4 linked regions of the Saccharomyces cerevisiae S288C genome follow. Changing the gene in region 4 together with the main gene of any one other region gives a genetic interaction. Each region holds a gene or a part of one and is shown on either strand. Other genes may lie near its edges. The genes, in order: ENT3, YPT6, RIC1 and ENT5.

Region 1 (7,418 bases), on a different chromosome or scaffold from region 4:
GTCCAATCATTGAAAGATTGACCAACTCCTTGATGATGAACGGTAGAAACAACGGTAAGAAATTAAAGGCTGTTAGAATCATCAAGCACACTTTGGACATCATCAATGTCTTGACTGACCAAAACCCAATCCAAGTTGTTGTTGACGCTATCACCAACACTGGTCCAAGAGAAGACACCACCAGAGTCGGTGGTGGTGGTGCTGCTAGACGTCAAGCTGTCGATGTTTCTCCATTGAGAAGAGTTAACCAAGCTATTGCTTTGTTGACCATTGGTGCCAGAGAAGCTGCTTTCAGAAACATCAAGACCATTGCTGAAACTTTGGCCGAAGAATTGATCAATGCTGCTAAGGGTTCCTCTACTTCTTACGCTATCAAGAAGAAGGATGAATTGGAACGTGTTGCCAAGTCTAACCGTTAAGAAGCTAAAAAAAGTGAAAGATTTTCAATATTACATATGTTTTTCTTATTATTACTTTTATCTTCTTTGTACACTCTATTGTTTAAATTTATAACATAATACAATCTTATCTTTTGATGTAAAAAAAAATAGGACTATCAATTTTTAAATAATATATCTTACGCAAATCTATCAAGTAAATATAAATGCTATTGGTTGTACTTCCTCGTGTGTCAGATACTTTAACTGGGTACTATTTACATTGTCTCTAAACGTAACGTTTCCTTGAAATGATCTACACATGTTTCTAAGTCACTCTACATTTGCTGCTGCATTAATGGCGGTTCATTTGCTTTTTAATTTTAGCGTCCACTCCTAAAAACATGCATGCCAGTATTAGATCCGCCGTTATCACCAAGGACCCACTAATGATGTAACATAGCCATAAATAATTATTGTTAGCAAGTATACCCGTGAATATTGGACCAACACACCGAGCAAATGTCTTTCCAATGTTGACCACCCCCATAACTTTGGTTAAATCTCTTGGTTTGATGATATTTGTTAATAGAATTTGCCTTGGTGTAACGTCCATGGCAGTTGTTGCAAAATGCAGATTCAAAAACAAAATAGATAAGGGCAAGTAATTCTTGGCCATAGGGATGAGAATAGAAAATATCCCTGATGGAATTTGGACCAATAGTGTGGCTCTTACTGGGCCAAAACATCTGGCAATTATTGATGATGGGATGGTGGAAGATGCCATAACCAGTTGCGTGATGAAAAATAAAGTACCCAACGCCAGAGATCCCATCAAAAATTGCTTACTATAGTAGTAAACCATCCAGCCACTTGTCATAAACCCGGACCCGAGAGAGTCGACCATGAAGATTACTAACAATTTCATCAAAACCGAAACGGTCTCCTTAGATAGTTTGTTGGATCTTTCTTCTGGGTGAGTTGCTTGTCTCATTAATGGTGCAGTTTCATCGTTAACGTCCAATGGTTCAGCTGTTTCTTCATTGCAATCTGTATGTTCATAATGCCCGTCCAATTCTGTAGCATCTGATAATAAGAGCATGATGACCATTTTGCAAAAGGCGAAGAAGGCATACAGTAAGAAAACTAATTTATAACATTGCAAATCAGTAGCAGCTAAACCAGTTCTTTTCAAAAGATCTACAAATATACCACAAATTATTGCACCTAGAGCGCTTCCAATTGTTCCAACCAAGGCGTGAATAGCATAAATCTCTGGTCTTGCATTATGAGGACTCAGATGTGCAATCATGGCCTCTTCTATAGATTTGAAAGGCCCGACTTCATCACTTGAAGGCGATATAACACCGAAGATAGCAAATACTAGCAAGAGGGTGAAATTTTCGCTAAAACTGAAAACCAACCCACTTAACAACATCATTGCACAACCATAAACTAGGACTCTTCTTCGGCCCCAGGAATCCGCATACCAAGTAAGAATGTAAGAGCAAATTACATCCCCTGCCAGTGTTAATGACATAAACAGCCCAATTTTATCCTCTGTCATATTGATGGCATTTAAAAAAAGCGTCAAAACTTGATTTGTTAAACCATATGATAGAAGTCTAAGAAAGACGGACGCCCATAGTAGCTTTATGTCTCTACTTGCACACTTGAATTTAACAAAAATTTCCGGTGCCATGGTTACGTTAACTTTAGAAATATTGGTAAATCCTTCTGCAATGAGCTTTTTCGAGATGTGAAAAATTAGTAGAGTTTTCTTTCGTGCCTTTTTTTTCGGTGCGTCAACTTTAATATATAGTTATAATTGCTCTATAATGCTAGGCAAAAATAAACGAGAAGGAAGGTGAGTTTTAGTTCATTGACTAAAAATGAGCAAAAAAAGTCAGGAGTTTTTGTTTTGAAGGGCACTTCAACTCTCGAACTATGGATTTACAGTTTCTTCCTCGTCTTTTTAAGTAAAGTATTTTCAAATGACCAAAATGTAAATAAATTTGAAAAGGGCCCTTCTTTACGAAAAAAAGATCAAAAAAATGTTCACAAACTATTTCACGAAATCAAGACAAACATATAAAGGAGAAATACAGTGGAGATTAGATAGTAATGTTCGTAATACCTGTTACAAAGTACTTTCTATTGTTATAAAACATTTACATATTGTGTAAACCAATAATATCACTCAAAAGGAAAGTAAATCGATTTCTTTGGATGATGTATGGTTATTATTGGTATTCTGTTCTTGTTGAACAGCTCCACCATGCATTTCACCAAATTCGTCATCATCATCTTGATCTGTACTTAGTGCAGTTGTGCTATTAGATACAGGATTAGAGGCAGCGGCTTTCGCTTGGGATGCTTTAGGAGCACTAGGTGCTTCTGCAGATGCCTTTGCAGTTGAAAAGAGAGAGCTAAAAGGATCTACTTTTTTAGGTTCCGCAATAGCTGGGGTAATCTTGCCTTGGTCGGTAGTGGAGCTGTTATAAAAAGGCATTGAACTCGTGGTGGCGGGCATACCCTCAATTGGGCTCGTGTTTAGCAAGTTAAACGAATTAGCAGGGTTGGTAACAGGGACGGCGCTTTGAAATTCTGAAAACTCGTCATCATCGTCCTCTTCTTCGTCCGCCTTCTTTTCATCTTCTTGTATGAGTTCTTTAGATGGTTTTGAAGACTCACTAGAAAAAAAGTCAACAAAGTCCTCTGGTTCTTGTTTTCCTTGCCCAGGAGTAGATGTGGCTCTCGAGGCATTATCGTTATATCCATTTTGACTAAAAGAACCATCTTCGTTATCTTCATTGTCACTATCGAAATCAGCACTCACGCTAATGCCGTGCACTTTCGTTGACGTGAAACCTGCCTTCGAATTCAAACTGCCATCAGCAGAGGCAGATCCTCCAGCAACGCCCTTGTACTTCTTTGCCGTTTCTCTTGCCTTTTTTCTTTCTGCGCGTATCTTATTATCGTCGCTCAATAATTCAATCAAAGCTTTGACCCTAGTTCTGACATTAATTCCTTGATCTCTTCCCTGGGAATCAATATAGTGAAAAGTTTCTAAAATCCTAATTAAGTTAATGCTATTCCTTGTATCATCGATAAACCTTTCAGAACCGTGTTTGATAAGGTAATCGAGCAATTGCAAGGCTTTATAAATTTGCCTCCACTCACTACCTGCCTTTTCAGTGAACCTTCTGAATATCATGGACAAAATTTCTTCTCTTTCCCTGAAATTGTAAGTTCCTTGAGAAATCTGGTCCATTAAAGTGGATGAGGCACCCCAAGGCTCGTTGTTTGTCGCTTCACGAACTTTCCCCTCCATCTCAGTATAATTGAAAACAACATTTTGAGCTTTACGAAAATATTTCTTGGCGTCATATAATGACATGTTGGCTAATGTATCCTCTAAACTCATTCTTCCTAACACTAATTAACGATGTGATCTCCTATCGACGTCCCTACACCTTCCTGAATTGGTAATTTTTGCTTTCCTCAAATAACTGTATCTACAAATCATTTCATGATTCTTCTAGTCCCCTTTTACTTTTCCTAATCACCTCGCACAACGTACGGTGTGACATGTATAAGAAATTGAAGCCATGTTTATAGAGTATATACAAAAAAGCCTCTCATGGTTATTATTCAAAGTCACTCTACGTATGCAAATAAAATAAATGTATATACTGAGGTGAGGTACTTAAATGCTTATTGAAGTAAATAGCGAACGTTGCTGAATTGGCTTAGCAAAATGGTTAACCACTGAATGACCTCGTTTCTATCAATATCAGCCAATCCTTCGTGAAGGCCGGGCAAAACTTCCCCGACAGATCCCTCAAACTTACTAGGTGCTAAAAGAGAGTACTTCATCCATTCCCTGTCTTTCAGTCCTCTGTGTGTAATAAATAATTGATCAATTTGCTTTGATTTGCTATTGGATCGTTGCAGTTTAATATAGCTCTTGATTTTTTTGTAAAAAGCCCAAACAGGTAAAGCTTCCCTACACTCTTTATAGAGAATACCATTTTGTTGGTCAAATTGGATGCTATCTTCCTGTGTGGCAACTTTTAATAAGTCCAGAACCCTTTTTGCTAAGCTGTTCACTTCATCGTCCTGGGGAAATGCTGAAGATAGATTAGAGTGCCATGCGATATACCAGTTATATATTTTCTTCAGGTAAACATGTGTATTGAATCTTGCCAGTTCGTTTTCACTCAGCATCAGCGTTGTCAAACCTACAAACATGGCCATGGTGTTGTGTAACTTGTAGTCAGAATTGGTAAATTTTTCCAACCAAGTTGGGCTATCGAATACGGAGTTACTATGATAGACTGCGCCTGAAGTATCATTGGCATTAAACTGAAAATGTGCAGCGGGCACTCCAAGATGGTACTGAAATGAAGTGTAACTAGACAACCCATCAAGTAGAGAAATAGTGGCATTAGAAGTGTATTTCCAATGGTCGAACAATGACCAGTCTTCGTGCCCATTAAATTCCGTGAGCTTAGCAGCTTCGTATATCACGTCTTGTAAAAGTGGGTTGGCTTTACAGTGAAAATTTGTCCCAGAGATTGCATTATCTAGATTTAGGTATACCAAGGCCCTTCTCCTGAGAATCGCAGCATGAGCTTCTGCATAATCTGTAGATCCCAGAAGGCCGGATCGTTCACCATCCCAACTTATTAGTTTGATAGGACGCAGTGGCTTCCAACCATGCTTAAGTAATTTACTCATTCCTCGTGCAATTTCTAAAAGAATAGCGCTGCCACTATTTGCATCACCGGCGCTACTCGAGGCGAGCGAATCCCTATGAGCTCCGATAATAATCTCCCCCTCAGTGAATATACCAGGGATACTAACCTCTACACTACTCATTTCCTTGATGTTGTAAGTTAGCTCATTATGCAAATGGACTTTATCGATAGAGCTTGAAGGTCCAGTGAATGATCCAAAATCTTTTATATTACTACCGGGCCCAATTTGAAAACCCCTGCCATTCAATCTTTCTAAAATTGGTTGGACATCTCTAGCACTCATCGGCACCGATGGTATCCTCGGCACTCTCCCTACCGGTGACATATGTTCAGTGTCGGAATCCTTGGAGGGATACCCTGGAGTTGTCGGATCTCCTGGAGTGTCACTGAAATAGTTTACAGAATCTCTCCTAATATAACTTGGGTTTCTTGCTGGTCCATAAGGATAGTGTAAAAACCCATTTTCCTCAGTAACTTTACCATCGTCAAATGGGTCTGTATATATAATGACACTGGAAGCGCCATAAAGTTCTGCATTCTTTACCTTTAATCCAGGTAATATTTTACCCGATCGTACGATGTGGATTTTATCTTCAATATCAATGTTTTTCTTCAAAAGTAGCTTGTAATCACTGATGCTACCATAATTGCAAAACACGTATCGAGCAGTTACACTTCCATTTTTTGAATATTGATGGAAACCCTTTTGCCTTTTCCTAGCGTGAGAAGCAGGATCACCTTTAACTCTATCCTCGATCATGCTTGCTTCGTAGACCACTTTACCATTTTCTAAAGGAGCTACGTTAGTGTCTACTGGTTCACCTATCCATGGGTAATATTTTTCAACTTTGGGTTTGTACCCCATATCTAGAAACTCGTCCAAGGTATATTTAAACGTTGACGAATCACTTGCTCCGTTGCTCATGTACCCAGCATACTTGTATACATGTTCTTTCGCTCTATTTTCCTGTTGCAAGGAGTTCAAGTATATCCTATAAACCTCTGCATTCGTCAATCTGGAAGAGTGAAACCGCCGAAAGTCTCTTGATAAAGACGTCCTGGGAGCAAATGCGGCAACAAATCCCATGTACAAAAGGAGACTCGCTAGAATCAAGTACATAAACTTTTCCTTGTCCATATGTTCTTTCATTATTTCATAACCACTAACAATACTAGATATTGTATTACTTCTGCCTCTATTCCTGGATGTTAAAGTGAAAGAATCATTCATGCTTTCTTCATTGTCATCGCGAGTGGTCTCGCCACTATATTGTTGTAATCCAGTGGCTTCGGCCTCATTGTCATCAGGGTCTGCCATATTAACAACAGTTCTCTCCTTTAATTGACCTTCCTCTTTCTCTCTCTTTCTCTCTCTCTGTATCATTCTCATATATCTCTTACATTCTTAATTGTGCATGTTGAAATTGTTTTAATAAGTACGGCCCCTTGCCTTGTCAAACCTTTTTACCCGGGCCATCAAACTCAAGCAAACTCCGAATGGAACAATGCCTTTTTGAAGCCTGGTGGTATATTATGAAAGTTATGATAGTTCTAAGCTTTAATTCTGTAAATACTATAGTATAGAGACGGCCGCCATTATATATTTGTAAATCGGACTTATATTCTAGTGTTTCTTTTTTTCGTAACACTATAGATAGCTCTTGATTGCAAACCATGAGCGAACGATAATATTATAGGCCAAATTGGCGCATCACCCAATATTTGAACACCCAAATATAAACATTTGGAGGATAGACTTGCCGCTACAATTAGTTGAATTGTCTCATTTATATCGGTATTCGGGTCCATGGCCCTTTGTGCTTGTTCTTCATTTAGTGCTGACAAATCTAGGGCATCCTTGTCCTGCCATCTTAAGAAATCAGTGTACGATTTCAACACATCACACTCCTTCGGTATCAAGTTCATTTGTAATCTTCTCAAAATCCTTTCTGCTTTTAGCCATAAGACACGGTCCGAAAAATCCAATAATGCTGAGTTAGGGTTGTTGGCATTGTACCCGCGTGCCCAATCCTCTACACATTTCATGTATTCCGAAATCACTAATACTGCAGTGAACATACATGTGGTCGCAAATACAGGAGTATTGAAAATTCTGCGCTTGCCCTGTTTAATGTACGTAAAAAATGAAGTCCACGCATCCACCATATTCAGTGCATACTCGGTAGCTTCCCTCAATGAACCCATGTCATAGCAAACTTCCTCCAAAGCTTTATTCATATTGGACCAATCTTTCAACCAGATTTTCTCAATAACATGT
Region 2 (6,750 bases), on a different chromosome or scaffold from region 4:
CATATGAATTTGTGGTGGTAATGTCGATGGAGCCTTTGATTTGTTCAATTCTCTCTTGAATAGCTTCCTTTGGACCACTACCGTTCAGGATAACGGTGTCTTCCTTAGTAACGGTAATAGAGTCACAAGAACCCAAGTTTTCTATGGTACATTGTTCTGGTTTCAAATCCAACTCCTCAGTAAAAACAGTACCGCCCGTCAAGACTGCAATATCACCAATTGTATTCTTTCTATTATCACCGAAACCAGGCGCCTTCACAGCACAAACCTTAACTTGACCCCTCAACTTGTTCAAAATACAAGCCGCAAGAGCTTCACCGTCAACATCTTCAGCAATGATCAACAAAGGTCTTCTGCTTTGATTGGAAATTTCCAAAGCTGGCAAGATATCTTGAATGGAAGAAATTTTCTTTTCACTCAACAATAGCAATGGCTTTTCAAATTCCACCTTGCTCGACTTTGGATCAGTGATGAAGTATGGAGAAATAAAACCACGATCAAACCTCATACCTTCAGTAACCTCAAGTTCATCTTCCAATGTTCTACCTTCTCTGATAGTGATGACACCTTCTTTTCCAACCTTTTCCATAGCTGAAGCTAGTAACTTACCAACATGAGAGTCCCCATTGGCAGAAATGGTTGCTACTTGAGCAATTTCCTCAGATGTGGTAATTTCTTTCTTGTTGGCGCTCAAAAATTCAATCACTTTTTCAACTGCAACTTGAGAACCCCTTCTCAAATCCATAGGGTTACAACCAGCGGCGACATTTTTGACGGATTCTGTGAAGATGGCTCTACCTAAGACAGTAGCAGAAGTAGTACCGTCACCAGCAGCCTCATTGGTTTTGGAGGCAACTTCTTGTAGTAACTTGGCACCCATATTTTCAAACTTGTCCTTCAACACAATAGATTTGGCAACTGTAACACCATCCTTAGTAATCTTTGGAGGACCGAAAGGCTGTTCGATTAAAACGTTTCTACCCTTTGGACCCAAAGTAGCAGCAACCGCTTCAGCTAAAGTTTCGACACCCTTAAGAAGGGAGGCTCTTCCTTCTACACCGAATTTCAATTCTTTATGAGAGGAGTAAGCACGACGCAATAAAGGCCTTAAAGTAGCGCGACTACGAACAACGGATGATCTCAACATTTTGAAAACTTTTTTGCTTATGATGTTTTCTCGTGGGAATTTTCTTATATTATTCAAGGAAGTGCATGAAGACGCAACCACGACCTTACATAATGAATGTAAAACTTAGTCTCCTTCAATATATATACATGAATGTCCGTCTGGATTCTGCTCCGGGCAAAACGAAGCAAAATTAAAGTCACCCTCCCCATTTGGTTTTCTGGAAAATTCCACGAGGTCCGTATATGATGACATATACAGATGGGCGGCTATAAAGTAAGTTTCCAGAGGTAATACCAGGCAATAAACAGCTTCAATTGCTCGTAACACCATTGTATACCTACAAAAACAGTGGAATAGGGATGAGACATAACTGGCTGGAATTTCAACTGTACTTCTTTGCACAACTAGTCTTGGCGTTCTACTTGATCATTGCGCGAATGGATGCACTCGCAATAATTCCCAATAGTATAACAGGAGGAACATTTGGATGCATTAGGTATATTATTCATCTTCTTTATCATCAAAATTTTCTCTTCCTTTATGTTACTATGTTGCTTTCTTTTAATCTATGTTTTTTTCCCTTTCAGTTGCCACCGCTTTTCTGCAAGATTCATAGTTAGATTTGCAAATCAAGGTGTTTTCGGGCCTTGTTAAAGCCTTCGCAGGCGAAGAAGAAAGGGAACGTAAGCTGCGTGAGCCGAATCTATTTATACAAAAACAATCAAAAAAGTATAACTACAGCATAAACTGTTGTATATACGTGTTGCAAAATAGGAAAGAAAAGAAGAGTAAAAGGACTCTTGATATTATCTCGAAAAAACCACAAATAGTGTAAGATTTAAACAGTAAGCCAAAAGAGATGACTTTGAAACCTTCAAAGAGACGTAAGGGCAGGTCTCGCCATTCCAGGAAGAAGCAAATAACGTCAGCGATACTGACTGAGGAAGGAATAATGATCAAGGCAAAACCATCAAGTCCTTACACATACGCAAATAGAATGGCAGATAAACGAAGTCGCAGCAGCATTGACAACATCAGTAGAACTAGCTTTCAAAGCAACATCAGTAGAACTAGCTTTCAAAGCAACAGTGATAACAACAGTATATTTGAAACGGCTTCACTAATTAGCTGTGTTACCTGTTTAAGCGATACTGATACAATAGACAGATCGGAAACATCGACAACGGATACAAGTAAAGATGATCTTTCTGCTAATCCAAAACTTCATTATCCTTCGGTGAATGGTCAATTGCCAGCAAACACCGTTATCCCCTATGGACGAATTCTGGATGCCAGATACATTGAAAAGGAACCTCTGCATTATTATGATGCCAATTCATCACCCAGTTCACCTTTAAGCAGCTCAATGAGTAACATTAGTGAAAAGTGTGATCTTGATGAATTAGAGTCTTCCCAAAAAAAAGAAAGGAAGGGCAACTCGCTATCGCGAGGAAGTAACAGTAGTAGTAGCCTCCTGACTTCCAGATCTCCTTTTACGAAACTAGTAGAGGTTATATTTGCTAGGCCAAGACGGCATGACGTTGTACCCAAAAGGGTTTCATTGTATATTGACTATAAACCCCATTCATCTTCTCACTTAAAAGAAGAAGATGACTTGGTTGAGGAGATTTTAAAGAGAAGCTACAAAAACACTAGAAGGAACAAATCCATATTTGTGATCATTAATCCGTTTGGTGGTAAAGGTAAGGCGAAAAAACTGTTTATGACAAAGGCAAAGCCGTTACTATTAGCAAGTCGGTGTTCCATAGAAGTGGTTTATACAAAATACCCTGGTCATGCTATAGAGATCGCGCGGGAAATGGATATTGACAAATATGACACTATTGCTTGCGCTTCGGGAGATGGCATTCCTCATGAGGTGATCAATGGGTTATACCAAAGGCCTGATCATGTCAAAGCATTCAACAATATCGCCATTACAGAAATTCCATGCGGATCAGGTAACGCAATGAGCGTATCCTGCCACTGGACAAACAATCCTTCGTACTCAACTTTATGCTTAATTAAATCGATAGAGACTAGAATTGATTTGATGTGTTGTTCGCAGCCTTCTTATGCAAGAGAGCACCCAAAGTTATCATTTTTAAGTCAAACATATGGTCTCATTGCAGAAACTGACATAAACACTGAATTTATTAGATGGATGGGACCTGCAAGGTTTGAATTGGGTGTAGCCTTCAATATCATACAAAAAAAAAAATATCCTTGTGAGATATATGTAAAGTATGCTGCCAAATCAAAAAACGAGTTAAAAAATCATTACCTGGAACACAAAAATAAAGGGTCGTTAGAATTCCAGCATATTACTATGAACAAAGATAACGAGGATTGTGATAATTACAATTACGAAAATGAATACGAAACCGAAAACGAAGATGAAGATGAAGATGCGGATGCGGATGACGAAGACTCCCACTTGATATCTCGTGATCTGGCAGATTCTAGTGCTGATCAAATTAAAGAGGAAGATTTCAAAATAAAATATCCATTAGATGAAGGTATCCCTAGTGACTGGGAAAGATTGGATCCTAATATTTCGAACAACCTAGGTATCTTCTATACGGGTAAAATGCCATATGTGGCTGCTGACACTAAATTCTTTCCGGCAGCGCTTCCTTCAGATGGTACAATGGATATGGTTATCACCGATGCAAGAACCTCGTTGACGAGGATGGCACCAATCCTGCTGGGACTAGATAAGGGTTCCCATGTTTTACAACCGGAAGTCTTACACTCTAAAATTTTGGCATACAAGATAATACCAAAGCTAGGGAACGGCTTGTTCTCTGTCGATGGCGAGAAATTTCCTCTAGAGCCCCTTCAAGTCGAAATTATGCCACGCTTATGCAAGACGTTACTGAGAAATGGCCGTTATGTGGACACAGATTTCGATTCTATGTGACACTTTACTTAATCTTTTCCTTCGTACTGAACAATTAATCAAAAACTAGAATATGTCATTTCTATTTCTTCTATATTTTTTTTACGTTGTTGTTGTTTTTGTTGTTGTTTGATAACTTTATACACTCCATACTTCTTTATAAAAAGTTTTAATACCATTCTTTAATACAACCATGTTTAGTGAGTACTAGCTCCTACACATCAGATCGTCAAGTACATTATGATTATGATTATTATTAATATTATCAGTACAATTATTATGTGCTGGTAGTTCACTAAAAAATATGACGCACACAAAGAGTTCTCCTTATGCCCTATAGAACTGAAATATTAGGTGCTAACACTGACAAGCGCTTTGTTCCTGCTCCTCTGCTGTAGAAATATCAATGACTCCCGGTTTATTTTGGTTTGCACTATTTGCATTTTCGCTATCCAAAGGAGTTGACTCGCTGTTTTGAAATTCAGGCAGCGATTTGGCAATCTTTTTGAATAAAGCTTTGACATTATAGCCTGCCTTTGTGGACGTTTCCATAAAGATTTTAGCACCCAATAGTTTTGCTTTTTTCTCTCCCTCTTCGGTTGAGATTTGCCTTTCATCTGATAAATCACTTTTGTTACCAACAATGCACAATATAACATTTTCGTCACCTCTTTCATTTTTAACGTCTTCTATCCATTTATCAATATATTCAAATGATTTTCTCTTCGTAATGTCGTAAACGATAATAGCAACTCTCGAATCTCTGATATATGAAGGTATTAATGATCTAAATCTTTCCTGACCTGCTGTATCCCATAACTGTAATCTAATTGTCTTATCATCCAAATACATGGTCTTGGAAAGAAAATCTATACCAATCGTGGCTTGGTAATGATCATCGAACGTATCATACATAAATCTAGTGATCAGCGATGTTTTTCCAACACCCTGTTCTCCCAAAAAAACAATTTTGTACTTTGTCAATGATTTCCCGGATCTGCTCATTGTTAATCTCTTCTTTGTTTATCTTTTACTGTTCAGAATCAACAGCTTCAAACACTTCTTTTCACACAACCTTAAGTGCCCAATTGTGATATTCTTACATCATACATAGTAACAATCTATATATGGGCAATATTTTCCTCCACTAATTGAGCTGTGCTGAAGGCTTTATTACCCGGAAATTATTCGGCCATTTTTCACTAGAAGTTAATACCAGCACTAACGAATAGAAGCACCCTATTCTACTCAAGATGCCCGGTTCATGAATAGGGAGAAGTATTTTTCTTATTTTCCTTAGCCATCTATAAATATTTATCCTTATGCCTGTCACCACAATAGAAAAGGGTCCATTATATATCAGTTGTTTTCGTACCTCTAGAGAGACACGCAAGGGGCTTTATTTAGGAAACCTCCAAATTTGCTAGATGTAACCATTATACATAGTAATTACGATTGTAAAACATCGGAAAGAACGATATATCTTGCAAATAGCTTTTCTTTGGTAATATATGTATTTACTTAAAAAACGAGAACTAGAAAATACTGAGTAAATTTTTATTAGACGTTGTTAAAGGCCTTTTATTTCTTACCAGATTTTTTGATACCACCACCCACTAAAGGTTTACCACTTTTCATATTAGCCATCAAAGCTTTCTTAGCAGCAGCATCGGCCTTTTGCTTCTCTTTGAAGGCAATGTCTTCAGGATCTAAGTCCTGTTGTTGCTTCTTCTTTTGCTTTAGAGGCTTCATCTTACCACCTTGGCGACTAGACATGATTGCTTAGGGTTTTTCAGTTATTCTTCTGGTTTTGCAACTTACTGTGCGTGGAAGAGCAATCAATTACAGGATTTTAAACATGAAATTTTTTATTTTCCTCGTTCATTTTCGTCGCGGGAAACTTCCAGAAGTATAGATTTACTACAATTTTTATCTCAGGACAGAAAGAATAAACCAAAAAAGCCAAGACAAGCCAAGCCAAGCCGAGGCGACTGGAGGAGCTTTTCATCACATTCAATGACAAATCACAACAGGTTTCCCTGTTAGAAAAGGCATGTGCACTCACAATTCATATTTTCATACAGAAGATATACATTGGATTTCTGGAGATATCAGGTAAGGTTCGACAAAAACAATGGCGTTTGCCAACCCTTTATGATGGGTGATCTTGTATCCGCTTAATTGTGTGATCTAAAAAGGCAAAGTAACGTATTATTGGCTGGTTTATATAATTTGAATATGACTACTTTTTCAACGTTAAAAACGATAAATACTTGCTCAAAGGGTTCAGCGGCTAAATAAACTACGATTTCGCAGCAGGATCAGATGGATTCAATCACATCATTCGCAAAACATTCACATCATTCGTGAAGCATTAAAGGTAATAAGAAAAATAGAACAAAGATTTTTTAATCAGTGAGGACCACAAAGGGACAGCAAATACGGTGATAAGAATGGAAGGTTTGAAGAAAAAGATTTTTGGTGTTTGCCTGAAAAATGACTTAGCACAGACTAGGAATGAAACGAAAGGAATCCACTATGGGTTAATGACTTTGGAAACTTCTAAACAACTGCAGGAATTTCTCCATTTGCTAGTAATAAAGAGAGAAGTAATTCAAAATTTTGAGTTGTTATTTCACATCATAAATGTTGCCGTTAAAATCACCGATTCAAATCTTCCAAGTGATGATATCTGGCATTTCATTTTAAAATTAAGATT
Region 3 (9,695 bases), on a different chromosome or scaffold from region 4:
GATTTCTATAAATTGGATGTCGATGAATTGGGTGATGTTGCACAAAAGAATGAAGTTTCCGCTATGCCAACTTTGCTTCTATTCAAGAACGGTAAGGAAGTTGCAAAGGTTGTTGGTGCCAACCCAGCGGCTATTAAGCAAGCCATTGCTGCTAATGCTTAAACTCACCCAATGACCGATATATTGTGTTTCTATACTGTGTTTGTTATATATAGTTTACCTTTTTTAGACAAAAAAACAGAATTATATATTATCCTTATGTTTTGTTATTTACTCGGAAGCACACAATTGCCCACCACACAAAGGAGGTGGAGGAAACAATTAATTTTTCACACAAGAGGTATATATTTGGAGAAAAATGAAGAATGAGATACTTTTCTTCCGATTACTTAAGTATTACGGCTCTGAAATTTTCTCGAGCATTAGATGATTAAATCAAAATGACATAGTATTTCGCAACCTTTCAGTTGGGCTTTGTTTAAGAAGTGGAATACTTTTGCTTGAGTTGTTTAGTTTTATTTTATCCACTGTTGTCTTAACAAATATTTTCAAGACCGGTAAGCCGAAGATGAAAAATCATTATTAACTCATTTTTTGAACAAAAATATAAACAAAAGAAAGGCAACGCACAATTTTAGAGATACATAAAACGCAGTGGATGTTAAAAATAACAGCGGTACAGAAACGCCTGTCTCGCTCCAATAATAATTATACAAATTTGAAACCGAACGCAATGTGCCAAGAAATGTAAACACACTATAGAAAAAAATAGAACGGTGCACATTGTGCTAGCATATCTGCTTGGTTCTGAACAAGAAGCACCTGGCCACTTTCTCCTAGCCCAATTCTTGCCAAGTTTTCAACCTCAATCTTTTGTGTTTGAACAAGCATGTATGAGGGGTCAAAATTTAGTGGAGGCCGCTTACAATCCTTCTATTTCCTCTGGACCTCATTAGCCGTCTGGCCAGACCTAAGCGTCATAATCTGGAGAATTTCATTGCATGCGAGAATATGATAAGTAAGAACTTGTTTATTTATACAAGTTCCACCCACTCATACACGGCTACAATTATGACGTATAATAACGTTTCGTCTAGCCCACCTTTTTTACTTTTGACGTTTTATTTCTTTCGAGGATTTGGCCAAGAATGCCCCGAACAGCGGAAAAAATGGCGTCGCAGTTTCAGATGTATAGACTCATCTTGTAGAAAAAAGAATGCAAGAATGAAGTCTTTTCGTGGTGTTTTGAAAACACTATAAACAAACCGTCAACAAACATTTTGTATAAATATTTAGCTATATATTGAATATCTTGACCAGTAAAGCACCTTGAGAAATTGTAAGCTTGAAGAACGTACTTTGATATCCCTCCGTTTCATCATCCTATAGCTCGTCAACAAATCAAAAAAAATATGAAGATCAGTCAATTTGGCTCTTTAGCTTTCGCCCCAATTGTGCTACTACAACTGTTCATTGTTCAAGCGCAACTTCTCACAGATTCAAATGCTCAGGATTTGAATACTGCCCTTGGACAGAAAGTGCAATACACCTTTCTTGACACTGGAAATTCTAACGATCAACTACTTCATCTTCCAAGCACCACCTCTTCCAGCATTATTACTGGTTCATTAGCTGCTGCTAATTTCACCGGTTCTTCATCATCGTCGTCTATACCAAAAGTCACTTCCAGCGTCATAACATCTATAAATTACCAATCCTCAAATTCTACGGTAGTCACCCAGTTCACGCCATTGCCTTCTTCGTCGAGAAATGAAACAAAAAGCTCTCAAACAACTAATACTATAAGTTCAAGTACAAGCACAGGAGGTGTAGGTTCAGTCAAGCCATGTCTTTACTTCGTTTTAATGTTAGAAACAATCGCTTATTTGTTTTCTTAAACAAATATATTAGGTTCAAGGTCTTCGCAGGTGTAAGAAAACCCGTGGTCTCCATATTCTTAAGTATGATAAATAAAAAAAAACTTAATAAATTATTAATTGCTTCAAACCTTTTTCTTTTTTTAGTTTTTAATATTTCAAACGTTATCTTCATTGAACGCCCAAATAGGGAAAAATCCTGGCAAATTTTTTATTGCTGTCATCCAAGGCTATGCTAGAAAATTCAAGAGCTTGGATGATTTAAAAAGACACTCTCAATCGAGAAAGTTTATTCTTTGTTATTCTGCTTTACCTGATCATATTCCGGCGTATTGTTTCTAATCAAGTGATTTCGATATCCAGTTACGAACCATTTACAACATTCCTGAAAATATTGCGTATCAATGATATTTGCTCCTTCTTTCTCCCTCATTAAAAATATTCTCCTGGTAAGCTTTCTAATCAGCCACAGTTTTGCTGCCAAAACTTTAACGTCTAGTTCCAATGACGATACACTTGCCAGGTCCGCAGCTGCAGATGCAGACATGGCATTCTTCATGGAGTTTTTAAACGATTTCGACACCGCTTTTCCACAGTATACCTCATACATGATGCAAAACCATTTAACCCTACCTCAACCTGTTGCTGACTACTACTATCACATGGTTGATTTGGCCTCAACAGCAGATTTACAATCTGATATTGCTCAGAGTTTTCCGTTCACTCAATTCCAAACATTCATTACGGCCTTTCCATGGTATACCTCTTTGCTAAACAAAGCCTCCGCCACCACCATATACCTTCCCCAACACTTCATAACAGGTGAGACAGAAGCTACCATGACTAACTCATCTTATGCCAGCCAAAAAAACTCCGTTTCCAATTCTGTTCCTTTCTCGACAGCGAACGCAGGCCAGTCCATGATTTCCATGGCTAATGAAGAAAACAGTACAACAGCACTTATATCCGCATCAAACTCTTCTTCAACATCCAGAACTAGTCAATCACAGAATGGTGCCCATGCCAAAAGCTTATATTTCCCCATGGCGTTGTTCGGAATCTTTGCAGTTGCCCTTTAAGTGCCTCAACCAAATTTGACAATTTAATTCCATGGGAGGTCCGCCATCCCTTTTCGCTTTTTTTATAATATGTGTATTATTTATACAAATATGTATATAAGTATGTACTTTTTCAATGGACAATTCGATTTTAAGAGCGTTTTTAGTGACAACGATGAACATCAACTTTGTACAGTATCAAACGATTTATTTTTAACATATTATTATAACTTCTGAATGGCGTTGCCATCTTGGCCAAAATCTTGTCTTTTCTGTCGTTTTATGGCAGGCTTTTGTTCTTTGATGTTAATTCGGCAATACCGACGCCTTTGATGTTCATCAAACAGTCTGAAAAAAATACACCTAAATGCCTCTACAAAAAAAAAGGTAAGGTAAGAGTGTTATTGACCGGAAGCTGTAAGAAACTGAACACGTGGAAAATGCACTTATGGCCAGTCAGTCCGCCCCAATTGCTTAGAATTCCACCCCGCAACGCCGAATTAGGTGAGGGTACTAAAATAGATGATTGCAATATTCTTCAATCAATGACACTACCCCAGGCCAATGTTCTTATCATGCTAACCCCAACAAGAGTGCTCATTTACAACTTCAAACCAATGGCACTAGTAGCTAGCCATGAACGAACAATGGCTTCTCTTAAGGAATTTGGCGATAACAGATCAATGAAACGATCAGCTCCATATAATGATATCATCGAAGGGCTTATTTCAAAAAAGGACTCGCAATACTTATTGTGGCACCAGGGAAAGCTGATATTTTACGTAATGACTGATAAAAACTTCCTTTTAACATACCAAATTTTAAAAAACTGCACAAATGAAATAATTTTCAAAGAATACGGCATACCCGTCATAGAGCCTCTTTTAATGAGTGAAGAAGAAGCGAACAGTGCTGAATATGACTATAACAACGATGATGATACTCTCACGGTATTTGATAAAAATAGTTCTTCAAGAATTATACAGAATGGATTTGGCATAACTAAGGAAAAAGGGTTTTTACACTTTCTTTCTAATCAAGAAAACATTGATGAACTCCCCGTGAAAAAACTAGAACTTCGTTTAAAAGTAGTTCTTAAATTTGACTATGAAATCATAGACATGATTGGCATCAAGACATTTTCCAAAGTCGGGGATGGGCGTTATGAAGAAGTTTTGATAGTTTTATTCCCTCATGGATTACAAATACTTACAATATCGGATTTTAAAGTTAGCAAGAGCTCGTTGGTTGAAGTGAAGAAGGGATCCAAGACAATTGTGTGTAATAAACAATTAATGGTTTTATCTCATGATTCCGTCGAAAAGCAGACTATTGTAAGCATTATAGACATTGAAAAGCAAGCTGTTGAAGCAATACCGTTAACGGACACACCAGATGAACTTTTGACTTGCCTAGAAGTTAATGGATACCTGGTGGTCGTTTACAAAGAAAAAATAATCTGCTTTGATACAAGAATTAAAAAAGTAAGCCATTCTTGGAAACCACCATTTGTGATAAAACTTTGCGATAAAATTAATGATAAAATATTACTTTTGGTTTCTGAGGATAGTGTTAACATTCATTTTTACACAGAATTTGGGAATCTGCTATTCGCTACATATTTTGACGAAGATGATTATAATGGTGATAACAATAATGACAACAGCAAGGATAAAAATGAGAAAAAGGCGGCTGAATATAAAATTTCTGATTTTGTATGCTTGGATAAATCACTAATAACAGTGTCTCATTCCGGAAAATATCAAGTTTGGAAATTATGGGAAGAAATAAAACAAACACAATTTGATTTCAGAAACCCAAAATGTTACGTATTAACCAATACGAACAATGATGTAATCATATATTCACCTGTGACAAGTTCTTCAATCAATAATGATAATTTACAAGTCATAAAACTTCCTACAAAGACTTTCAATAATCATATTGCTTTTGTAAAAATTAATTCTTCCTTGAGGTTATTTGCTACTTATGTGTCGAACAAAAACATACTGCTTATCCACAATCTAGAGACCAATATGTGGTCTAGTTTTGCTGACCAAAACGTGTTGGATTTACATTGGCTAGGTGATAATTATTTGGTTTGTCATATGAAGAATGATGATGGCTCAACAAATCTGAAATGTCTGCAGATTCCACTGCAAGAAGCGAATCCGGACGTGGAACTATCAGATTATGTCATGTGGGAATACAATGTTCCAGAGAATACGATTGTTTTCAGTTTACATGTTAATACTTTATCCCGGTATAAGTTGTTGAAAATGAAATCCAAGAATCACAATGCTTCTGAAAAACAACCTGATGCATTGCTTAAAACTGCCGAGATTATTTTAGTTACTGATACACAGACAATTGTCTTCGATGTAATTTCTACTGTACATCCATGTGGATTAAACATCATCAAAAAATTCTACCAGTATCTCAAAATTAACATTCCAATTGATGTTTTACCCAACAAAATTGAGTGGATAATTAACATGAAGGAGGGCTTGTTATTTTTTGCCGATAGGAAATTTATAAAGCTTGGCAAAGTGGATGGAGGGGGCTGGCAAACCTTAACTTTGTTGGATAACATAGAAAAAATAATCGATGTTATCAGGGACGAAATATTTGTAGTTCAAGGCCATAATTACGTCGTATACTCTTTGGAAGATTTATGGGATGATAAAAAGCCACTAGTTTCCATTCCAATCGAAGAAGATTTGTATCCAATATCAACCACCCCAGAAACAGCTACAACACATACACTTCACTGCATTTTTAACGCGCGATTTTCCAAATTGGTGGTGAAACACCAAATATACCTCGACCAATTAATCTTAGCCAAATTAGAAGACAACACAGATTTGGAGGATATTTCACACAATTATCGTTTTTTAAAGCCTTACAAATTTGCACTCGAAAAGATTTTGTCTACTAAAATACTGCGAAGCGACTCTTTGGATGATATCCTGAAATTAATTAAGATGTATGACAACACCGATCCTGAGCATAATATTTCACCACCAACCCACAGTGGTATGTTAGAAATTATTAGTAATTGTTTAAGGAAGATCGAAACTAAATACTGGAACCATCTATTCACTAATCTAAAGATGACACCAAGAGATTTATTAGCACTCTGTATCGAAGAAAATGAGGCTAAAATGCTTGGCGTACTTCTGTTAGTGTTTTTAAATTACGATGAGAAAGATTTGGGAGATGATCTACATTTTAAGAAATCAGATTTAGGGACTGAGGAAAGCAAAGCTCTAAATGATAACTCTACAAAAAAGTCAGAGAAATCTGTCACTAATTTATTGAAGGATGAAGAATTAATGCTTAAAGTCTTAGAGCTTTTGGTGACAAGTGCTGCAAACGCCACAGACCCAATTAAAGCTACCGATTCGTGGGACATGTGTTTCCAATTAATACGCTTACTCAAGGAATTAGACAGAGAAAACAACACACAATTGGTTCAAAAAGCACTCGAGAGATTCAAATAAATCTATATGACACCATGTATTCTTTACCATATAGCTTCATAACATTGACCAATCAATTTTCAGAAATGCGTCGCGCGTAGTTTTGCCCGATATCCCCATCCCTTCAGGATCTTTAAAAGGTGATGAAAGATGCACCAGATAGAAAAGTTGCATTAAAATGATTAGCAGAGATATACAAATATTTTAGTAAGAATACATAAAGTATCTTTGCTTTCACAAATAGGAACAAGCACATAAATACAGTATAATAGACATGGCTGATCAAGAAAACTCTCCACTACATACAGTTGGTTTCGATGCTAGATTTCCCCAACAAAACCAAACAAAGCATTGTTGGCAATCTTATGTGGATTATCACAAGTGTGTTAATATGAAGGGCGAAGATTTTGCTCCGTGCAAGGTCTTTTGGAAGACCTATAACGCCTTATGTCCCCTAGACTGGATCGAAAAATGGGATGATCAAAGAGAAAAAGGTATTTTCGCAGGTGATATCAACTCAGACTAAGGATCTTAGTTTCGTTTTTAGTAATGTGCACTTAGCCTTTTTTATATCATTATTATTAATTACTAGAATTCATTTTTGCGTAGTAGACCTACACGGGATGAAGGATATCTATATGAAAAGTAAAGTAACAATAGGAGATAATGAAAAAGTGATATCATACGCTAACGAATGTTCATGATGGAGCCAAATTCCTAAAAATCAAACAAACAGAAAAAAATGAGAATGATGTGGGGTACTGAAGTTTTATTTTTCATATTTATTTTTAATTATAGTAAGTAGCCATTTCTATATATATTCAAAAATTATTTGACCCTCGTAACATCTGCCACTGCACTGAAAAGAACAAGGCAATGGATAACGCTGATAAAGACGTCAGCATGAACTTTCAATTCACTGAGATAGCAACATTTTCGAGGATTATATAAGGGGTACTAATCTCTTCTAGTCATCGTTTGAAATACATTCAGGCTGAGAAAGATAAACGCTGAACATGTTGAGAATAAGGCACTTCCTGGGACCTACTAAAAGATAATAATATAGTATTTGAAGAGACCTTCATCAACAGCCTGAGATCGGCACACATCCTTCACAAGCGCCCCAGTTCCAGACTGAAGTACACATTTCTATCTCTTACAGTCACTACTTGCGATTGCTACTACTAAACGAAATGATGGCTGATTTCTGAATGTCAATTCTTTACTTATTGTTCTATCAGGCTAGAAGGATAGTAACATAAACTTCTAAAGTACCTTTAAAGAGCCTCAATGCACTGCCTTAACAAGCAAATGACAATTTTCCTATCAATTGTTTCACGAAATACGTTTGTCGTAATTTTACGCATTACAGGTCAGAAGGAGACTAGATAAGGCCGATTCTCCGAGTACTGTTGAACCACAGGCTTCAGCAAGTGAAAACCAACAGACAAAACAAGGAAAACAGCAAGATTAACCGTTTATATTTGCTTCTACTACCTCAACGGAGAATGGAGCAGGCCTTTGAAAACGCTCCTACTTTTGAAATTGCCTTTGTAAATATTGTATCTCCAGCCGCGCTTAGCTAAGTGGATATCACTAGATTAAAAAACACTCTCGAGCTACCCTATGAAGACAAGATTCATCCATAAACTCCCTAAGTGGGTATCCATTAGATGCCAACTACTTCACTCATGCAATACATACAGCAATTGCAAGACTTGTGATTTTAATCCAAAAGAAACTTCCCTGGGTGTCATGAACCCAATCAATGGCCGTAACTCTTCGTATGGTCAGTTTATAACTCTCAATCACGTTTCCTCGCTCATACCCTAACAGGTACGACTCCTCTGATCATATAGAGGGATTTTAATGTTTCTGATTTGGGAAACATTCAATTTTTCTCCTGACAACCGTTTAGTGTCAAACATTGGATATTGCCCTCGTTCAGAGGGCACAGAATAAAATTTGATTTCTGGTTCATTTTCTTGGCCAAAGATTAATTGAAGTTGTCAAGGCATGCCAAAACTTCCTTTAAAGGTATCATCCCTGTACCGAACATTCCTGTGCTCCTGTATATATCATAATAAGATATAGGTAGTACAAAGGCGCGGATCCGTATACGAGATCTATAAAAAAAGCATTGTTGAAGAAAGGGCAACTGCATATTTGTAGTGGTGAAGAGTATGGGATAGGGGAGCCCAAGTAAGAGAAATATCAGCAGTGAAATAGCTATTCAACAATTTATCTGTTCGTCCGTCGCTTATTAAAAAACGGCATATAAATAGAGCAGCTTTGATTAACTCTTTCCGACAATTTGGCATTGTTATTTACATTCGAGTGAGCTCACATCTTCACTAAAAAGATCTACAAAAGTTCAATCGAAAAAAATGGTCAAACTAACTTCAATTGTTGCTGGTGTCGCTGCTATTGCTGCTGGTGTCGCTGCTGCCCCAGCCACCACTACTTTATCTCCCTCTGACGAAAGAGTTAACCTGGTCGAATTAGGTGTCTACGTCTCAGATATCAGAGCTCATTTGGCTGAATACTATATGTTCCAAGCTGCTCATCCAACTGAAACTTACCCAGTTGAAATTGCTGAAGCTGTTTTCAACTACGGTGATTTCACCACTATGTTGACTGGTATTCCCGCTGATCAAGTCACTAGAGTCATCACTGGTGTCCCATGGTACTCCACCAGATTGAGACCAGCTATCTCCAGCGCTCTATCCAAGGACGGTATCTACACTGCTGTTCCAAACTAAGCCGATGGCCTCACAATTGGTATTTAGCACTGGATTGCTTTACGAACGGATAAAAATAATTATGATTTGACGGTAAGAAATAATTAGATATACATACGTATACAAACATATATATGTATTACAGGTACTTTTAATCAGTTGCACTGTGTTCAAAAAGATATTTTTTAAATGCGGGGGGAGATTCAAGTTTTGTTCTCGCATTTAAATTTCTGCATACAATTTGTACTTACAAGAACCTTATACGATTCCAGTTGAGACACGTACTGATATATTAATGATCATATTAAGAATCTTAATGCTTAAAACTTCTCTTCAATTCAGCATTTGATCTGTGGCAAGTTAATCTTGTTCCATTTAACGTGGATTTGACTTGCCATGATCTTCCCATAAAGCGGTAAATAGCCTTTTTGGTAAAAAATTGAAAGTTTAAAAGTACGGAACAAACTTTCGAGTTTTTCCTCAAAGGCCCTTCACAACACACGAGAACTAAAAGGTAGTTAAGACAGGAACTTGCCG
Region 4 (7,775 bases):
ATGAAGATTATACTGACATAATCTCGAAATCATCCACAGTGAAAGATGCTACCATTTTCATTCCCGCCTATGAAAACATCAAGAATTCTGCTGAAAAATTAGGCTACAAATTAGTTCCGTTCGAAAAATCAAATATCAATCTGAAAAACATTGAAGCTCCATTATTTTCGAAGGACAACGATGACACTAGCGTTGCCAGTAGCATAGATCTTGATCACTTATCTAGAAAAGCAGAAAAATATGGTATGACCCTCATTTCTGATCAGGAATTTGAAGAATATCATATACTAAAAGATAACGCGGTTAATCTGAATGGTGGCATGGAAGAAATGAATAATCCCTTGTCAGAAAATCAAAACTTAGCAGCAAAAACCACAAACACAGCGCAAGAAGGTGCCTTCCAAAACACCGTTCCCCACAATGATATGGACAACGAAGAAGTCGAATATGGGCCGGATGATCCAACATTCACAGTAAGGCAACTCAAGAAACCCGCTGGCGATCGTAATTTGATTTTGACTAGTAGGGAGAAAACACTGTTATCAAGAGATGATAATATAATGAGTCAAAATGAGGCGGTTTATGGTGACGATATATCTGATAGCTTTGTAGATGAAAGCCAAGAAATCAAAAATGATGTAGACATTATTAAAACTCAAGCTATGAAATATGGTATGTTGTGTATTCCTGAAAGTAATTTTGTGGGTGCATCATATGCAAGTGCTCAAGATATGAGCGATATAGTTGTGCTTTCCGCGTCCTATTACCATAATCTAATGTCACCTGAAGACATGAAATGGAACTGTGTTAGTAATGAAGAATTACAAGCGGAAGTTAAAAAGCGTGGGCTCCAGATTGCACTAACAACAAAGGAAGATAAGAAAGGTCAAGCCACGGCATCCAAACATGAGTATGTGTCGCATAAGCTAAACAATAAAACATCTACTGTGTCCACAAAGTCTGGAGCAAAAAAGGGACTTGCAGAAGCAGCAGCAACAACTGCTTATGAAGATTCCGAAAGTCATCCACAAATAGAAGAGCAGTCTCATCGTACTAATCATCATAAGCACCATAAACGTCAACAGAGTCTGAATTCTAATTCAACCTCAAAAACCACACATTCATCGAGGAATACGCCAGCATCTAGACGAGATATAGTAGCATCATTTATGTCACGTGCAGGATCTGCCAGTAGGACGGCATCTTTACAAACTTTAGCATCATTGAACGAACCAAGCATAATACCCGCGTTAACCCAAACCGTCATTGGGGAATATTTGTTTAAGTATTATCCACGCTTGGGACCTTTTGGATTCGAATCACGTCATGAAAGATTCTTCTGGGTTCATCCATATACCTTAACTTTGTACTGGTCCGCTTCTAATCCCATCCTAGAGAATCCTGCCAATACCAAAACAAAAGGTGTTGCCATTCTAGGAGTAGAAAGTGTCACAGACCCAAACCCATATCCAACAGGATTGTATCACAAAAGTATTGTTGTTACCACAGAAACTAGGACTATTAAGTTTACTTGTCCTACAAGGCAAAGACACAATATTTGGTATAATTCATTACGTTATTTACTTCAAAGGAACATGCAAGGGATAAGTTTAGAGGACATCGCTGATGATCCAACAGATAATATGTATTCAGGAAAGATTTTCCCATTGCCCGGCGAAAATACAAAGAGCTCCAGTAAAAGACTTAGCGCATCGAGAAGGTCCGTATCTACAAGGTCTCTAAGACATAGAGTACCACAAAGCCGATCATTTGGCAATTTACGATAGTTAAAAAAACTAAATAACTCTAAGTAAATTAAGAACAATAATAATCATTATTTCGATTTTTAGTCCTGTAAACACGTTTGCCACCGATGAGTAACACTGAAAGATCAGAGAAAGAAAAAAAAATTCTACCTAATGAAATAAATAAACTAAAAAGATTAAATTAACTAATTCTCATGTTAGTAGGTCACGAATTCTTTAATTTTGTTTTGTGACTGAAATAAATATGAAAACGATAATGAATAAATAAATAAGGAGAGGCAGCAGAAATACGCCAAATATTCAAAGGGCTTTGTTGTTGACCGACTACCAAGTCATCCTTTGCAATGCTTTAACACTAGTATGTAAGTTCCTAGGCTTACTCAAATTAGTGATATTATCGTTGTTGCTTGGGGCTAGGGAAGTAGGAAGTGGAGTCAACGCCGTATCCTTACTTCTTCCATCGTTAGCATTTTGATATATTTCAACGTCCTTATCATCACCGTGTTTGAAACAGCAACGCTTACCGTACGGACAGTAGCCTAACTTCGACCAATTTATGCAAGGTTTAGTTCTATAATTGTTTGATTTTTTCTTGAATTTCAGTTCATTAAGACCATGAGCAAATTGGCATTTATTTCCATACTTACAATAGCCTTTAATAGTAAAAGATTCACAGAGCTCAGTTTTGTATAAGGTCTTATTGACTAATTGAGGAAGCTGCAAAGGTGCCCTTCTACAAGGTTCCAGTTTTGTTGTTTTCTGAATTGGAAGTGTGTATGGAAGTCCAGTAGACTGAGAATCCACCTGAGATAGTTTTTGTAAATTCTCCGCTGTCAGGGGTAATGAAAATGCACTTGTCGTGTAAGTAGGGTTAATCTCAACTTCGAGTGACCTTTTCTTACGTTTTTTCTCAGTTGTAGCAAGTGTTGAGATGTTATTATTGCCTGCGAAAGGGTTATTAATAGGTAATGTATTTGTAGGTCTGGAATCTGATATGATCAAGTCTTTAAAATCTCCCAACGGATGATAACAGTTTGGTTTGGATGGTAACCAAGGAGAAGGCCTTGGTGAGTATTCACTTAAAATGTCCGTTTCATTTATATTATGCCCCTCGGAGCTGCTGCTGTCATCATTATCGGTATTTTCATTGAGCAGTGTCTTTATATAATATTCTTCGATTTCTTTAATCTTTGACTCGTACTCCTTGTTGAGATCAGAAAAGATCGAGGACGTAGTCGTTGAGGTCGAATTGGCATTCGGTATGTTTAAATAGTAGCTGTTTGGAGCAACATTCGGCATCATGGCTAGTGTTAATCCTTAATAGTTCTTATTGGTTGAGTTGCCGAAGAGACTGTGATATAGGGTTCTACGGCTTTACAATCAACTTATGGGTGAAGAGGCTAAATAAGATGTGACTTGTTAAGAGAGCAAGCGCAACAAGAGTGCAAAACCGTCACACTATGTCCAATGATCTACACTATCAACCTTTGAGTTAATGTTCTCTGATCCAGTATATTAGTAACTGCTCACACTGATCAAGAGCGTGAGAGAATACGAGCGAAAAAGAAAGAAGAAAAATTTGGGTGCCATTGGCACAGACCCTAAAAGAGATGTGAGAGAAGTGGGCCATATATGTATATTTTTCCCGAATGTCCTAATAAGTAATGATTGGAAATCCTAGGTCTATAAACTCGGGTAACAGAAGGTGGAAAATGAAAATTTTCTATTTTCCAATTGTAAAATCAGCAGGCATCGTTAGATTGGCTTTAAAGAGCTGAGTTTCCCATGCTGTCGGTTGGTATAATTTAAGGAAAAGCCCTCCCTCCATATCCAGAAGGCACTTGTTAATACTATGGATTATAAGGAAGAACAGAAGCAGGAACTAGAAGTTTTAGAGTCCATTTATCCTGATGAACTGAGGATCATAAACGATGAATACCCAAAGATTAAATTTGAAGTAGCCATTAAATTAGAGCTGGATACAGGTGATTCTACTTCTGTTTTAACCAAAGAGCACACTATAATCGCCGAATTCAAGTTACCAGAAAACTACCCTGACGAACCATGCCTGATTTCATTGGAAGCTCAAGAAGTAGCCCTCAATGACAACGAAGAAGATAACGAGGAAGATGAAGACGAGGTTGAATATGACGACCATGGTAATAAAGTACTGAAAAAGTTTGAAAACCTGCCAGATTTAATAAGCTTTAAGGGGTACTTGCCTGAATTAACCGTACAATTAGAATCGCAAATCGAAACCGATATGTTATTGGGTATGCAAATGTGTTTTGCATTGATTTCATCCATAAAAGAAAGATGTGAGCAATGGTATAGTGAACAATTGAATAAGCTCGAGAAGCAGTACGAGCTGGAAGCACAAGAACGTGAAAAGAAGGAACAGGCCAAGTTCCATGGTACTAAAGTCACAAGAGAATCGTACTTGGAATGGAGGTCTAAATTTCGCCAAGAACTGAAACTGGATGAAAGAGACCAGGTGAGAAGGATGAAGGCTCATCATGGGAAGCTAACCGGTAAGCAAATGTTTGAACAAGGCGTGGTGGGCACAGGCGACGAGTATATGGAAGAGGATGACGCGAGTGTAGATGACGTAGCCAAGGGACTTGCCAAGACCGAAATAGCAAATCAATAAATACTTGTGTACTTAAGTATTTAAGTATTTTCTTCTGCATGGATAATGACATATACAAATGTATCTATATAATATTTTTTTGATATTCAATAAAAAGAAAACTGACATTTGAAGAAGGAAATAGACAAGTTTTTAGTAAGATATTATTAGTGTATATATGGATACATATATCTGAGAATGAAAATTTGTTGACTGTATTGAATGTATTGGGAGATGAAGGGGTATTTGGTGATTAGACCAACGACTTGGAGTAAGAGAATAAGTCGGAAAATGCATCATTTCCCTTCGACTTGTCCTTTGTAGCCTGAGGACGGGCTTTTTGCTGTTTTTTCTCCGCAAAGGGCAATGATGTTTGCGCAGCAGCGGTGGTATCTGTGTCTGACTTTGGGCCATCCCAGTCAAGCAAATCATCTATTTTACTATTGGAAGTTTTAGGTGCTGTTGTGTCGGGACTCGTTTCGCTTTGGAAGTCGCCAAACTCATCATCATCATCATCACTATTGCTGTTGATATTATTGTTTTTGTTGTCATTATTACCATTGTCTATTGTTATATTATTCGTGGTGCTAGTACTATCGTCAAGATCGATTAAGTCAGGGATGCTATCTTGTTGTTGCTTTCTTTTCCTCTGCTGTTCTTTATTTTTGATCTGCTCTCTTAATATCTCCCTTCTTTGTCTTCTTTGTTCTTCCATATGAGAACGCCTGCGAGTATTCGAATTTGCTTCTGTTTCCACAGGAACATTGAAGTTGGTCACATTATTAGCATCCATTTCACTGTCAAAGCCATCTGCATCTGCATCAAATTCATCGTCGTCGATGTTATCGTAACTTGCAGACGTTGAAATCTGGTTGGCATTATAAATGGAGGATTCTCCTTGCTGTCGAATTTTCAAGGCATTCTTCTTATTCTTGGCTCTTTCCTTTTTCAAAAATTGTGAGTCTTCCAAGTATTGCAAGATAAGTTCTCCCTTTTTCCTAATACCTCTCTCATGAATCTCCATTTTACCATCATTGGAGAATTTTACCTTGAATTGGGCAATCTCCCTGGTTAAAATATGCTTATGAGTGAGCAAACATGATCTAATCTGATTCAGTTCGTCACCTGTGTCGACGTTCAATAATAGGAATTCAATGACTACTAGACATTTTAAGACCACCCTCCATTCGGACCCATAATTAACGTAGTCCTTTCTTGCCTTTTCGTATAGGTTCTTGGGCCTGGTAGCGATATGGTCGACTAATCTTTTCAACGTGTATTCTGTCATCAAGTAGAGCGGCACTTGGTATCTGTTCCTTAAAACCTTGGCGAGGTGCTTCGGTGTGGGGCCCCAAGCATCGGTATTTGTAGCACGACGGATATCTATCTGATAAGGCTCATATTGGACTATCACGTTTTGGGCAAACCTTGCGGCATTTCTAATATCATGGATACCTAAATTTTGAATCTTTTTTGATAATGAGTCCATTTTGTATGGTGTTGGTATTTATGCAATTGGAACGTTTAATTTGTGTATATGAATTTCCCTTCCGATTTGTATATTGGATAGAAATATAATTTTTTAAAAAAAGTAAACTATAAGCAGCCTGGAAAGATAAGCTAGACCAATTCTTATTGATAAAAAACTAAAGATAAATTCAACCGAAAACTAAAATCTAGATTGAAATTAAAACAAGAATGAATGAATGGATCAAAGGACCTGAATATGAAAAAAAGTGCAGGAGAAAGAAAATTTTCTCGCTGTGGAAAATAAGCCGAAAATCCGTTACCTAGAGGAAAGAAAGAAACGTGGGAAAAACAGGGGGCGGTACCCGGCGGCGTCAACTTAACAGGCATAACCTAGGCGGTAGTTGGCTAGTTGGCAAGCCTGGCAACATACTCCGATATAGGTAGGAAGAGTTAGTTATAAGAATTGATTGTCATACATACACATACCTTATACATATACATATAATTTAAGAGAGAATAGTTCGTTTCAATTTTTGCTGTATTGTTCCAGGCAGAGCGGTTATAATTCACCGGACTTGGCAACAACAATTCTAGCCTTGGTGGCACCGGAAGGAGAACCCAAGGACTCAACCTTCTTAACGATGTCGTAACCGTCAACAACTTCACCAAAGACAACATGCTTACCGTCCAACCATGGGCATGGAACGGTGGTGATGAAGAATTGAGAACCGTTGGTGTTTGGACCGGCGTTGGCCATGGACAACAAACCTGGTCTGTCGTGGTGCTTCTTGAAGTTTTCATCTGGGAATTTGCCACCGTAGATAGACTTACCGCCGGTACCGTTACCAGCAGTGAAGTCACCACCTTGCAACATGAAGTCTGGAATAACTCTGTGGAATGGAGAGCCAGCGTAGCCGAATCCCTTTTCACCGGTACATAGAGCTCTGAAGTTTTCTGCAGTCTTTGGGACTATGTCGTTGTACAACTTGAAAACGACACGGCCAATTGGTTGGCCATCAGCTTCGACATCAAAATAGACTTGGGACATGGTAGTATTAGCGGTTGAGTTTGGATTGAGTTGAGATATTAAATTCAAGACAAATCTTAATATAACCTATCTAGCGAAAAAGGAGGAACAAATGATGACGACAGTGGCAAAAGGATAGAAGGCTCAAGAGAATACGTTTATATTTATACAGGGAATCGAACAGACACTTGTCAGCGTAAGCCCAACCAAAGTGAGAAGGGCCACGGCCATTACCAGAGACAGAAATGAGTGGAAGCGCGTGGAAGCCCGTCTAGCAGAGGAAGAAATTCGAGACGAGGCGGGACGTGGCGGGCTGGGCGCCCCAGAAAATACCGTAGAGGACGAGGGGGGCGGTGGAAACCCCTAAGGGGCGAAAGGCGGGTAACATCTAACAGCGACGGGTAAGCATATTGCGGGTGTAAAATTTTTCATTTCGAGCTTACTTCAAGATGATGCATATGTTTAAATCACATTGATTATAGAGGTCTCATCGGTAAGGCAGAGCAGAACTGGAGACGTCTGAGGTAAGATTTCGATAATACAAGATGATGAAAGGTTCTAGAAGAACAGGTAATAACACTGCTACCACGCTAAACACGCCTGTGGTCATTCATGCCACGCAGCTGCCCCAACATGTCTCTACTGACGAGGTTCTTCAATTTCTGGAGAGCTTTATCGATGAGAAGGAGAACATTATTGATAGTACTACCATGAATACCATCAGCGGCAACGCCGCTGACGCGGACGCTGCCGCTGTGGCTAACACCAGCCTCAACATCGACACCAACCTTTCCAGCTCCATATCGCAATTAAAGAGGATTCAGAGAGACTTCAAGGGTCTGCCACCCGCCCAAGACTTTTCCGCCGCGCCCATTCAGGTCTC

Evidence for each region.
Region 1: mutations in ENT5 (region 4) and ENT3 together harm fitness more than expected from each alone (negative genetic interaction), as found in Saccharomyces cerevisiae (8 studies listed by BioGRID, with this or other methods).
Region 2: mutations in ENT5 (region 4) and YPT6 together harm fitness more than expected from each alone (negative genetic interaction), as found in Saccharomyces cerevisiae (4 studies listed by BioGRID, with this or other methods).
Region 3: mutations in ENT5 (region 4) and RIC1 together harm fitness more than expected from each alone (negative genetic interaction), as found in Saccharomyces cerevisiae (5 studies listed by BioGRID, with this or other methods).

Annotation. Positions count from the first base shown.
Region 1 is NC_001142.9:652,160-659,577, forward strand, and holds ENT3 (Ent3p), read right to left. Parts: upstream 3,805-7,418; coding exon 2,578-3,804; downstream 1-2,577. Other genes in the region: 40S ribosomal protein uS7 RPS5, read left to right, coding at 1-419; YJR124C (uncharacterized protein), read right to left, coding at 733-2,079; VPS70 (putative zinc metalloprotease), read right to left, coding at 4,095-6,530; RSF2 (Rsf2p), read right to left, coding at 6,758-7,418. UniProt on the Saccharomyces cerevisiae protein: Involved in the recruitment of clathrin to the Golgi network and endosomes to form clathrin coated vesicles. Plays a role in the trafficking of clathrin between the Golgi network and endosomes.
Region 2 is NC_001144.5:663,856-670,605, forward strand, and holds YPT6 (Rab family GTPase YPT6), read right to left. Parts: upstream 5,037-6,750; coding exon 4,389-5,036; downstream 1-4,388. Other genes in the region: chaperone ATPase HSP60, read right to left, coding at 1-1,147; sphinganine kinase LCB5, read left to right, coding at 1,989-4,052; VPS63 (Vps63p), read right to left, coding at 4,382-4,708; TMA7 (Tma7p), read right to left, coding at 5,613-5,807; RED1 (Red1p), read left to right, coding at 6,485-6,750. UniProt on the Saccharomyces cerevisiae protein: Protein transport. Might participate in post-Golgi transport.
Region 3 is NC_001144.5:222,169-231,863, reverse strand, and holds RIC1 (Ric1p), read left to right. Parts: upstream 1-3,267; coding exon 3,268-6,438; downstream 6,439-9,695. Other genes in the region: thioredoxin TRX1, read left to right, coding at 1-162; NFG1 (Nfg1p), read left to right, coding at 1,413-1,898; AFB1 (Afb1p), read left to right, coding at 2,282-2,956; COX12 (cytochrome c oxidase subunit VIb), read left to right, coding at 6,692-6,943; seripauperin PAU23, read left to right, coding at 8,805-9,179.
Region 4 is NC_001136.10:762,088-769,862, forward strand, and holds ENT5 (Ent5p), read right to left. Parts: upstream 5,885-7,775; coding exon 4,649-5,884; downstream 1-4,648. Other genes in the region: NUM1 (Num1p), read left to right, coding at 1-1,787; putative mRNA-binding protein CTH1, read right to left, coding at 2,091-3,068; GIR2 (Gir2p), read left to right, coding at 3,619-4,416; peptidylprolyl isomerase CPR1, read right to left, coding at 6,425-6,913; DNA-directed RNA polymerase I subunit RPA14, read left to right, coding at 7,438-7,775.